Arabidopsis thaliana: one gene and its partner. The protein of the gene in region 1 interacts with the protein of each later gene in a pairwise test. Each region holds a gene or a part of one and is shown on either strand. Other genes may lie near its edges.

Region 1 (6,610 bases):
GTTGTTTGCTATCGTTTTATTTTTTGGGTGGATTCAAAATGAGAAATATACTTAGGGGAGTATAAATACAAAATGAGAAACTTAGTATTTATTGTTGAACCTAAAAGTATAACTTTGATTAAAAGTAAACAAGGGTTTAGAAAACATCATTGACCGTATTACATGCTGATCCATAATTTTACTTATAAGTTTGGTCGTACATATTTATCTATCAACCATAACAACAATTTGTCCCATTCGTCTGCGGTCCGTCTAATTCTGGTAAACATAATAATAACCGTACCTATCACAATTTATATTCTTTTTAATGTTCCTTTAAAGCTACTCGACACTCAAATGTTAAAATATGGATGTAACAATATATCTTCCACTTTTAATTTCACGGTGTCACCATATTTATTAGTTGACAACTTCACTTAAGAAAACTGGCTTGTGATTATGCGTATATATCCTAAACATAATGCAAAGTTTGAAACGCAAGTTTTCACATAGCACTACATTTCGTGGAATCTAATTTTCCAATATCAATTTAAGCATATTTCTATATGTTGCTAATGTACATGTAAATATGTAATGTTTCTATTATAGTAAATTAAAATGTACTTGCTTTCGACTATATGTATATAATTATTTCACCCACTTATAAGTTGTTGTTTGGATCCAAAGTTCTTAATTAGGACACCACCACATTTATTTATTGTTTATTTTGTCATCATGCAACCGAATGTCAAATATATCTATACTAAACGCATTTTATAATCTCTAACTATATCATATAAGTATATTGTGAAAGAAAAATTATTTTCTTCTTCTCCATTCTAAAAACGAAATTTTACAATAAAAAGGAAAAAAAGAAAAAAAAACTACAGAGATAACATTTATCACCATAAGATCCAGGCTGGATCAATCCAACCATGAGTGTTAATGTTTGGGCTTGAAATCTGATGAAACATAAATTAATTGAGCTTCTGAGCAATGTGTAAATGTGTTATAGGTTTAATTACGTTCAACCACTTTTTTCATTTATTTAATAAGTTGATTTTCCAAGACCACTCGTAATCAACTTTCATGGAGTCCGTTTATGGTTAAGACCACTCGTAATCAACTTACAAGCAAGTTAAACAGTGTCCTAAAAGTAGAAGTCTACATGTCGAAGAATGATTGTTTCTATGTCAAGAACGACGACGCGGAACATCAAGAAGTACATGCAAATCGACGTGCATCATCATCAATAAGAAGTGTGCTAATTGTAGAAAAAAGTAACACTTAGTTTTCAAAGGTTCTATTAATCACCGTAAGCATTGGCTTTAGATGAATCACAGAAACAAAAATAAGGGTTACGAAGCTGTTCATGGCTTCTTTTTCCATTAGTTCGGATTACAAAGATTCATGATTTTTTATGATACTTTCTTGTTTTAACCTTGGTGTATTACATAACAAATAACCAATTAAATATAGCAGATTTCATTTATATATAAAAAAAGGGCTGACACAAAATGTTAAATTCAAAAGATTGAACACATGGAGTGAGGAAGAGAAGCTGTTTTTGATATTTGCACACAATGATAAAACTTCAGATGATCAATCGGACAACATCATCATCATCACCATACCATCCACACAGACCATTTTTTGATGAATTAAAAAAAAAAAAGCGTTGAGAACGACAATGGAGGACCCCCAGATACATACTTTGGTATTAGAAGGGGCAATGATTTTCTAGCAAACCAGAAGAAGATTCCAGAAGTAACTAGAAGCAAGTACCTTCCGGAGGTTGAACAAGCTTACGGTTATGCGACGTAGACATTTCCTTCTTCAACTGTACCAGTATATCCTCCATTGTGTACTCTCTTTGCCAGTTTGCAAGTAGCCCAAATTTCTTAGGATCCACCTATACACATACGCATAAAAAAATTACAGAGCATCCAAAGAAACAAAACAGAGAAAGGAAGGGCGGTGGTGAGTTTATACGTACCACTCCTGTTTCGTGGTTGACACAAGCCATGTTGACACGTGAATGGAATCGGACAGTTGGAGGTTTCTCCGGGTAATCTTTGTCACAAAAGAGCTTCAACTGATAGATTCTACCTTCATGAACAGTCTGTGACATAAAATTTATCTCTGTTACTACAAGCAAAAGCAACAATGGCATAATCTGCTCAAATAAAGCTTAAGAGATTGTATGTCGATAAGATCAATGCCTAGAAAACAATGTGGTTTTGATGTTCTGTATTCCAAGCAATGAGATGCAAATAATATTAATCTATGCTTCTCAAAACAATTGTTAACATATATGAAGACGAAGGAGAATGTTAGCAGATAAAGAAAAAGATATAACTACGTTGTGAGGACCGATGATGGTGCCAGTCCAAGAACGCATATAGATGTCATCTCCATCATCCATTCCATAGCTCACAGTTCCATCCCCAATACCTTTCTCCCCACGTTCAAGCTCCTCCAACAACCGAAAATTCCTCGGAACTATATTGCAATAACAAGCGTAACAAAAACAATTCATATCAGTAAATGAAAACAAGCAATCACTTTTTTTAATCAAAGCAGAGAACAGAACATATCATATTAATCATTATCCACAAAGACTAAAATAAGATAACACTCAACAAAGTTAACAATGAGCTATAGAGAAGATGAAAACATTCCTAGCTAAGGTCTTAGAAACAATAAGAAACTCAGGAATAGCATTTTAAACCCATCTCAGGAATTGAGACATCAGCAAATCATTCTCAGCGATTTGTTAAAATTGATTGATTCAGATCAAGCTATATGCGAACAATTTAGACAAAGCTACAATTTTTTATACTAGATCGATAGAACCTATGAGAAATCTCAACACCTATTGATCAAAACGAATAAAACCAAAAGAAGAATTCACCAAAACCCTAGAGAAAAAAAAACAAACGAGGGATTATTCCAAAACCCTAGAATCAAAATCAAAAAACGAGAACAAACCCGAAAGAATCGAAATTTTATACCAACAACGCTAGATCCTCCTGAGCCAAGAGTCATAATTGATGAAGTTGTGGTTTCGATATCCGATTGATTTTGAGATCTGACGAGCAGAGAAGAGAGACGAGAAGAAGTAAAGGGAGAATCGAATAGAGAGAATCTGGTGAATAGACAGAAAGCTAAAATGGGAGGGTCAAATTTGGCAAATCGGGTACTTTTGGGGAGACTGGAAAAAGTTATTTTTTTCAAATTTACCGCCCAAATTTGTTTTTCTATCATATAATTCCTTAAATTATGATAACTACAGAAACACCCCTTTTATTTTCGAGTTTTGACAACATCTATTTGTTATTATTTTAACTAGCAATGCAAAATTTCTATATACATGAAAATTATTGAAATATTAAAACTCGCTTGATTTGCAACTAAATTATCGTAAAATGTAAATTTCTTTTTCAAAAATCATGTTAAAACTTTAGGATAAAATGTTGTCACGTATATATGTCGTCGCATGTGCCTTAATATATATGAAAAACAGAAATTAATTATTTATTAGATTTTTGAAAATTTAGTACTTATAAATAGAAAAATGTCATAAAATACATTAAAACAAATTTTAGTTGCTACTTTTTCACTAAATTTAGGTTTAAAAATATTTTCTTAAATAATTTAATATTTGAAGTTTGTAAAAGTTCTTAAATTTTATTGAATTTGATGGTGAATTGTTTTGAATAAATAACGTTTTAATTGATGAAGATACAACTTTTAACCTTAATTATTGAAAATTTCATCGGATTGAATGCCGATGAAACCAAAGCAATACCATTATTAGCATACTACCAATTTGATTCTTAAGACCCTAATTCGAGACGTGTCGATTTTTTTACTTGTGTTTAAATTTATATTTTGTAATTTTTAAAAATAAACTTTCTATTTTTTTTGGCGTTTTTCATTTACATTGAAAAACTATGTTTCTCTGGAGTATACAAATAAATAAATATAAACGCAAACGCCATAACTAGCGTTTGAAACAATCGAATTCAACTCCGATGAAAATCCATCCTCGTTCATGTCATTGGCTTCCATAGTACTAAAACATGAAAATGGACAACTTAACAAAATGAACCAAGAGGGACGGCCACAAACAGAAATGATCTGTCTGTCAATTTAACATATTAAAATAGAGATTATAATTTAAACAATATGATTTATATAGAGGACTTTACAAAGAAAATTAAATTCATCATCTCAAACTCAAAAGTCCAAATTGAATAATAACTTAAAACAAATTCTCTAAAAGAAGATCAAGTCGGTGCATTTGCACTTGGGGCAACGTTGACGTTCTTGTAAGACCATAACATACATCATACAACTTCGACATCCCATCACCACCATCTCCGGCGCCTCTTCTTCATCAACCCACGACGATGCAACCTCCTCCTTCACTTCCTCCGTCCTCGTCAGGCACGAGTTTTGTGATGATGATGTGTCGCTCGATGGTGATCTTCCTTCAAACCTCCCATTAGCAACCACCGACGCCACGGTCCTCGCCGAGGGCTCAACGCTACCTCTTTTACCATTCTTGTTTCTCATTTCGATACTTCGGTTTCGTCGAGAGGGTTTTTGTATTCTTGTATTTGTTTTTCTCTGTGTTTTTCTAGGGGATGGGTTGATGGTAATGACTTCTAAAGAAAATGTATGTATGTAATATATAAGGAAGAAGAGGAGCTAAAATATGACTAGGAATTAATATTTGTTGAATAAAGTAATTATGTTGTGGAGAGAGATATGACTTTGTTTATTTCGTAATAATTTTTTTAATTGGAGGTGGGAAAGTTAGTAAAAGTATAGTAGAGACAAATATATGAAACAAAAGACAATTCAGTAAACAATGCATTAGTGCATTTAAACCAGTGCAGCAAACTATTTATTGCTAAATGTAAAGGGGAAGACTTAAATCTTACAATTTAAAAGAAGAATTTATGATTTTTTATTGGTAATCTAAATTTTAAGTAATATGTCATCCATTTGATTTGTTAATGTAACGTTAAATTATATTTCAAGAAAATAACAGTTTTACAAATACTACGATTTGTGTTTGAAAGAATTTAAACTTAGGGTTTAAAGAATAAAGAAGAAACTGAATTTGTCATCCATTTCACAATAGTTTTAATCTTATGACTTCACTTTTTTGTTTCATAAATTTGTCGTTTTGTATATTTAATGTATATTTTAAAGAAACTTATAGTTTATTTATATGGCGTATTTTATCAATTAGACTTTGTTTGTTTGATTCATTTATTAGTTAATACTACTCAATGTTTTATCTATTAAATTGTTTGTCACAGTAAGACTATTATTCAACTGATTTCTTGAATGAAAATATGTCTAAAATAACTTTAGTGACACCAATACATATTTTTCTCATAAATGTTTTTACTATTCTCTCTGTTTCATTATAAATTTTGTTTTATAATTTTACACGTATTAAAACCTATTAATTTTTTAATTGTATAATTTATTAAATTTTCAATGTTAAATCAATAAACTACAATAATACAAATATAGAACTACATGGTGTGATTTATAGTCATTTTAGAAATAGTGTCTAGAAAGTATGGTTCATTCAAGAAAATGGTCTAATAATAGTTTATAGTATGAAAAAACAATTTTGAATATAGTTAAAGATAGAAATAATGGCTAGCACTAACTAAAAATGAATCAAATAAAAAGAATTCATCTACAATTTACTTTTCGTTATTAAAAATTAAATAATAATAGTACGTTTATACAGTGAAGCATCCGTTTCAAAGTTTCCAACGACGGTTTCATGCGCCAGCTAAAAACTTCTTTTTGATTGATAATCAAATGGACATTCTGAAGGTACCCACAAAACTCAACTACTTTGAGTTACTTTCCAAATTTTGAATATAAATCAATGTTTTTGGTGGTGACAAATTTTGACAATATAAAAGAATGAAAGATGTAGATAGATGTATGTAAGTAGTGCTTGCTGGTAGTTAAATTGGATATTCAAAGGTGAAAACCATTAAGATGTTTCTAACTACCAGATTCACTAGTCATTGTAAAAATTATCACAAAATGTTTAGCAATAATTTAGAAGAATAAAAGGATATCCATTAATGTTTTTAAAAAAAACATTTCCTTTGATTAATCTAATGATGGTAGTTAAATTACTTGACTTTAATTTCCTGTCTTTTTATTTTAAAACAGGAAATTATTTGGACGAAAGGTTATGGTACAATAAACTTTATTACTGTACTTTTAATGTTTCACATATTTGCATAACTTTCATTTTTCTAAATTGTTACGATCAAGATAGCCATTGATTTTCATTTGAACAATGGAAAGTAACTGGATATGAGTATGATTTATTGATTAGTACTCTCAAAATGTTTATTATGATCAATTAAACAGACGTTTGTAACTTGCGTTTTAAACCGTCATTTGAAGTAGAATTTTCATAATTATATAAAATCTCCTATATATATTATTTGAGAAGCTAGAGGGATAACGTTTGAATTTTAGAACTTTGAATAGCAAACGAAAGAGTAACAAATTAAAAAAAATGAAACAAACAGTTACTAGAATTTAATACAAGAGGCCAATAACTAAAATACAG
Region 2 (6,482 bases), on another chromosome or scaffold:
AACTCGAGCCCAATAGGCTCTAATAAGGCCCAATACGATATAATCGTCTTCTTCCTGTAGAGTCGGGGACCTGGGATTAGTCAATAAATGAGTAGAATTTTTGTAAGGAAGAGAGTAGTTGGTGAGCGTCGCCATTGAAGGGGAAAGCAGCCCAACTTTGCATTGAATGACACTTAAAATCTTTCTCTCAGCAGCTGTCTTCATTTATGATCGATCCTACTTCTTTCTTCTCTCTACCAATTTCAAGATCTGGTCGTCGCTCACAGGAGAAACGTAATGGAAAACAAAGAGACCAAGCAAGAACCAGCAGCAGCAGCTGAGCAAAAGACCGTTCCGTTGATCGAAGATGAGATCGAGAGGAGCAAAGTCGGGATCATGAGAGCTCTCTGCGACCGACAAGATCCTGAAACTAAGGTCCCTATCGATTTCTTTAAGTAAAAAAAGAATTCAACCAGAAAAGTATTGATTTGATAAAAGCCCTAATGATTTGGATTTGCAGGAGGTGGATGATCTGATGATAAGGAGGTTTCTGAGAGCGCGTGACCTGGACATTGAAAAGGCTTCAACGATGTTTCTAAATTACCTGACTTGGAAGAGAAGCATGCTCCCAAAGGGGCACATACCAGAAGCAGAGATTGCAAATGATCTATCGCATAACAAGATGTGTATGCAAGGTCATGACAAGATGGGTCGACCTATCGCTGTTGCCATTGGGAACAGACATAACCCTTCCAAAGGCAACCCTGACGAGTTCAAGCGTTTTGTTGTCTACACGCTCGAGAAGATTTGTGCTAGGTGAATAATAATAATATTACTACATACATTAAGTTAGTGTGGGTATATAAGAAACCATTTATGCTAATGCTCTTTTTTTGTTTGTTTGAATGTTGTCATGTTAGAATGCCGAGAGGTCAAGAGAAATTCGTAGCAATTGGAGATCTGCAAGGCTGGGGATATTCTAATTGTGACATCCGTGGCTACCTTGCTGCTCTTTCCACTTTGCAGGTTACTTCCTTTAATTCGCCTATCATATCTTTTGAAACAAACATTTAGGTTTTTAGCAATTATCACTAATAAAGGAAAATATTGCTAATAATCCACTTAACTCCAAATATAGAGAATTCAGTTTGACTTCCAACTAAGAAACCTTTTGTTCGTCAGTACTATTTACTATGTTTTAAAAGGTGTTTTTGTTATTTTGGAGTAGGTGATCAGGTTAAAGGTCTTTTTGTTATTTTGGTCCTTTTGGCCACACTTGGCTTCTTTTTTTTTGTTTCTCTTTGTTTATGGATTTTTTTTGAAAAGGAACTTTCATGATTGTAATCCTATTTTTAGCAAAATATTGCGTTAGTAATATTGTTCATGGTCGTGAGTCCTGACAGTGAGTAACCCCCACATTAAGAAAACCTTGTTTTACAGGATTGTTACCCAGAGAGATTAGGGAAACTCTATATAGTTCATGCCCCCTACATTTTCATGACCGCATGGAAGGTCATTTATCCTTTTATCGACGCCAACACCAAGAAAAAGGTACATTGATTTGCTCTGCTTCACAATCACTTTATTAGTATGTTTTAAGACTGTGTTGGAAAATTTGATTGTTAATTTCGTGTTTTTTTGGGGGGGCAGATTGTTTTCGTGGAGAACAAGAAACTCACTCCAACGCTGCTTGAAGACATAGACGAAAGCCAACTTCCCGACATCTACGGAGGCAAATTGCCACTTGTTCCTATTCAGGAGACCTGATTATAGGTCTTACTACGGCCCACCTCTATTTCCAAATTATTACTTACTAGTATTATTTTTTATTTGAATAAAATGAAAAACATATTGAGTGTCGCCAAATGCCAACAATTATATATTTACTGTCAAAGAAGCTAAAAGATATAATATTGAAAACACCTTTAAATTTCATGTAATTTTTCATAATTATCTATCTACTGTGATCTAGCCATAATACTTCGGCAACTATACAATTTCAGTCTAGCTTGCTGTTGCTCTTCCCTGCAAATCTAACACACAACTTGTTCCAACTAGAATTCTAAACCAAAACAACAAAATAATATAAAAGAGGTTTAATTTATGAAGGGTACATTGAAAAAAAGAAAACACCTTGAATTGATAATCCATAAAACAAGTCTTTACTAATATTTTCACTCTTATTAGAAAGAAAAGAAGAAACCATCAAATCCCCTTTGGCAAGTGAGATCGATCCACTTACACAAGCTGTTTGTTCACCAGATGCGTGGGCGAGTATTACCATTTAGAGGAGCTCCATGATCTTTGGCTTTGGCTTTGGTCTCTCTCAGATAAGCCCGAGTGATCTCCACGCTTAGATCCGGGTTCCTCTGCACAAACGTCTCATATTTCATGGGAACAACCACTTCTTCCATATGTTTGACAATATGATTGATAGCCGCGTCTTTCAAGATTGTGTCACAAGGTATACTGGCGAGCTCTAAGATGTCTAGGACGTTCCTAGAGCTCAGAGATGCGATGAAATGGTTACGGCATACGTCTTGCAGATATGAAATGTCGTACTTATCTGCAGCCAGATATAGGGATCGGTATTGATTGTATGGAGCTTTTAGGTTACCGCTGTAGAGGAACTCGAGAAGAGATTTGAGTTCGTCGTGGGACAAATCAGGGAGAGTGATTGATTCCTCGGGGGAGGTCTTGCATTCATCAGAATCTAACATGTTCCTGAAGACCTTTGATCTTGCCGCCTAGAACAAAAACAGATTTATTCAGTCGTATCATGATCCAGTGTTATCATATCATATCTAAATATAGTAATGTCTTGAGACTAGAACTGTGACATTAATATAAAAGCAAAATGTAAATCATCTGTTACCAGAACGGCTTTGTGGGTAGGTATGGGTGGAGCTTCTTCACCAGGTTTAACGAGAACATCAGTATGCATTTGCTCCTTGAATGAGACAACAAGACCACCGAGGAAAGCCGCCTTTTGCTCTGCTTCTGTCATTAGTTTATTCAAACTAATGTCACAACCAAAAAGCTTTAGTATGTAGTATTACTTGGCCAAACAGAGAACGAAATACCAAGAAGATCAAAGTTAACCATACATGCCACAATTGTTTATTTTAATCAACAAATCTTAAGAGTAGTAGTAGAGAGGTTCTCTATTCATAAGATCAATATTGTAAATTTGTGATCCTCCCCTAAGCTTTAAAACTCTAATCAAAGCTTTAAAATTTGAAAGTATTGTTCTGGCTAATAGTTATCCAAGGATATGGTATCGAATCTTAAAACGCCACTCTCCGAAATTTTAAAACTCAAACAGAAAGACCACTCACACAAAACGAAAATTCAATCAAGCCACCGATCATATTCTCAAATTTCATGATGATTTTAAAACAACCCTTTTCCAAGGGTTTGTCATGCAATTCTCAAAGAAAACAAAAAGAAGAAGAGAAATTAGGAAAGTAGAATGATAGTGTATATTACCGACTGATAGCGAGATCGGCTGCTTCCTCTATAGATTCGGTACGATGATCTGAGAGACTCTGAACTTGACTTGATGATTACTTTACTTGTGATATCGATATAATTTAAGATTATATTTTTAGTGGAGCAATATTTATTATCAAAAAAATTCGGAAAAGCAAATGTTTAAAGCGAAAGTTTAGGTGAATATCGGATTTTGAAATATCACTAGAATTTTTTTAAGATCTTTTCCAGCATTTTAACTATAGGTCCAACGTGCTCTAATGGGTCACCGGTATCGGCCCATAACAAACCAACAACAACAACTTCTGATTTATTTTCAAGACTCGTTTTTTTTTCTTTTCTTTTCAGTTAAGCTAGACTTTTATCAACATCAACTTTATATTAGAAGTGTTAGCATCAGTTTTTATTACTATCAGTCATATTAATGAAAAATTTTAGTTGCTACTATATATAATTCCTCTAAAAAACTTGTGACCCTTTTACATTAGTAATCTGTAAAATACTAGTTGGACATATGTATGTTATAGAAGAAAATCTGATCATCATGACTCAGGAAAAGAAGCCAAGTCTATTCATGGTTTCATGTCTAATAATAGAGAGAAACTAGCAAGAGAGGTTAAAAGAGTTATTTAAGGCAAATGTGGTATGGGCTCTCCTGTCTAGTTGTGTGAAAGCGTACAGAGACATATATATTGACCTAAGAAGGGGTGTGTTGTATTAACAATAAAAAAAAACTAGAGGATCATCTGATTTTTATCTGTTCCCATCTGATACATAGCAGGTTGTTTTAAGACGATTGAGGTTGAAGACGAACGTGAGGGCATGGCCTGTCGGGTTCCCCTGTTGTCCACAGCGTCTTCAAGTCACCTCTCTTGTGACCCAACACGAACAAAGTACCTGACACATTGCACCACAAACCATTCTTAGTTTCAAAACATACATAGCTTTTGGTTCCAAAACATCTGTTGTGGGTTCAGTGTTCTTACCTAGTATGAATGGGACGATGTAAAGCAGAGCCGGTTGCCCATGTCCGTCCATCAAGTTTAGAGCTATGTATGTTATGAGAAGACCTGTGATTGTCAAGAATCATATTAAAAAACCTTTACTAGATTTCTTATTCGTTTCTCCCCTACGTGAGGGATCATACCTAGACCATAAGCAGACATTGTCCCAAGGAAGTACCCTGACTTTAGCCTCTTGTTCGCCAGCCAGTCGTACCTGCAGAACGGTGCACGATTTTGATCGGATTTAACATTAGATTAAGGTACTTATCATAATAGGTTTCCTTTTTATTACTGAAAATGATAAGATGGATCACCTGAAAACACATCCCTACAGTTATCAATTCTTTTTCTAAACAATATCTTGTCTCCATTTGTCTACCTAGTGCAACCTTACCCTGATTTCTCTGAAGACATTTGATTCATTCACACTCATCTATTTACTAGACTATGTAATGTATATTTCTATCTACAAGTTCTTCAAAAAATTGCAAACCACATTAAACAGACACAAAGCATAAGGACATAAGGTTAAATTGAACCAGAATGTCGGATTATAAGATTTTTTTGCCAGGTTCAAGCGATTTTGTTTTATAAAAAATCTGTCAGAGATGATGCGCAAATGCGGATATAAAGGTATATCATGACCCCAATGTTTCTGATAAACCCTTTTCACATTTTGTTGTTTTCGCTGAGCACCTCTATTGGTTTGTTGTCCTGATTTACATTGATATCCGCATTTGCGCATCATTTCATACTTTTGTATGCTTCTAATAACTCAGTTTAGTTGAGATCTTGATATAGTAATAATGTGAGAGAGCGCAAGAGGAGATTGTAACAGTGCAAACCTCAGTGCGAAAGTTACAAGCAGTCCTGGTAAGATAATGTCACCAAATCCAATTATGCTGTAGCCACCCCAAGGATCAAACATTCGTGGGATCTTTAGTAGCATTGGAATTCCGTCCTCTCCGCTTCTGTCACCACGGGCTACCTATATGTGGGAAAATGGGAAAAGACGTACAATTCTCCGATAATATCAGTGTGGAGCAGACAGATAAGTATGTGTAGTTGGAATATCTAACAAAGTCTTCTTGCATGATGGTCTGGAGCAAAAAAGAAAAACTTACCACAATCATCACGCTTTCACGGAACCACCATTTTGAAACAAAAACCCAGAAGATGTCATACATGAAGGCACAGCTGAGAAGAACAAACCCGACCTGTTTACGTAAGAGTTCAATGAGTCATCATAACTAATATTGTTATTATAGAGATTGGTCTTCTATACATTGGCAGAAATGATTGTATCCGTCTACCAGCAGCAATCAAATTTTCAGTCTTCAACTGATTGGTTTAGACAGTTGAATTTTCAACATGTTAGAGCACAAATTCAGAATATATACACAGGAAAAGTGATGGTTCAAAACAAAGCTGGTACGAGATGGCTAAAGGTGTTTGTCAACATGTGATATTTAGTGCCCTCATGATTGTAACGGCAATCCCATGTGACATTTGATAAGGAATTGGTAATACCTTAAGATTTGGTACGCGGACAATTTGAAGAACCGTGATTATCAGTGAGATTCCCTGTCAGCAAGAAAAACCAAAAGTAAGCTGTTAACTTGTGTTATTTGTTAAGACTACAGATAGGTCAACCTAACACCAATTACTTATACATATGCATGAAGGTATGTACATGGTAGCCTTGTATGGAAATTTAACAGTAGGTATACTTGTAGAAAGACATGGATTCAAGAAAGGTCAGTTAAGAGAGAGAGATGGAAACCCGCGCTTACAAGTATATCTTGCCCTATCCAAGCATAAGAGTATTGACGTTTAACCGCCCAAAATACAGCAAATGCTATGCAAAAGGGACAAATAGCCAGAGTCAAGTATGAGACAGCACCCAGGAAAGGAACTTTGACATATGATTCTCCAAAGCGGCGGAACCATCTGAAACTATAACAAATTTAACGTCAGTATCAGATTTTCTTTTTTACTTCTCAAAGA

The links. Proteins that work in one complex are often made in the same cells at the same time.
Region 2: the proteins of UEV1D-4 (region 1) and AT1G01640 interact in a two-hybrid assay, tested with the Arabidopsis thaliana proteins (one large-scale study listed by BioGRID).

What each region holds. Positions count from the first base shown.
Region 1 is NC_003074.8:19,492,928-19,499,537, forward strand, and holds UEV1D-4 (ubiquitin E2 variant 1D-4), read right to left. Parts: upstream 3,169-6,610; 5' UTR 3,028-3,168; coding exon 2,994-3,027; exon of another isoform or gene 2,971-2,993; intron 2,482-2,970; coding exon 2,342-2,481; coding exon of another isoform or gene 2,339-2,341; intron 2,156-2,338; coding exon 1,976-2,155; intron 1,892-1,975; coding exon 1,751-1,891; 3' UTR 1,450-1,750; downstream 1-1,449. Other genes in the region: AT3G52561 (uncharacterized protein), read right to left, coding at 4,261-4,560. UniProt on the Arabidopsis thaliana protein: Has no ubiquitin ligase activity on its own. The heterodimer with UBC catalyzes the synthesis of non-canonical poly-ubiquitin chains that are linked through 'Lys-63'. This type of poly-ubiquitination does not lead to protein degradation by the proteasome.
Region 2 is NC_003070.9:228,930-235,411, forward strand, and holds AT1G01640 (BTB/POZ domain-containing protein), read right to left. Parts: upstream 3,702-6,482; 5' UTR 3,469-3,701; intron 3,000-3,468; 5' UTR 2,987-2,999; coding exon 2,855-2,986; intron 2,727-2,854; coding exon 2,235-2,726; 3' UTR 1,979-2,234; downstream 1-1,978. Other genes in the region: AT1G01630 (Sec14p-like phosphatidylinositol transfer family protein), read left to right, coding at 277-414, 500-795, 900-1,005, 1,420-1,530, 1,630-1,746; SPPL4 (SIGNAL PEPTIDE PEPTIDASE-LIKE 4), read right to left, coding at 4,259-4,368, 4,458-4,541, 4,619-4,689, 5,321-5,463, 5,600-5,692, 6,006-6,059, 6,269-6,431. UniProt on the Arabidopsis thaliana protein: May act as a substrate-specific adapter of an E3 ubiquitin-protein ligase complex (CUL3-RBX1-BTB) which mediates the ubiquitination and subsequent proteasomal degradation of target proteins.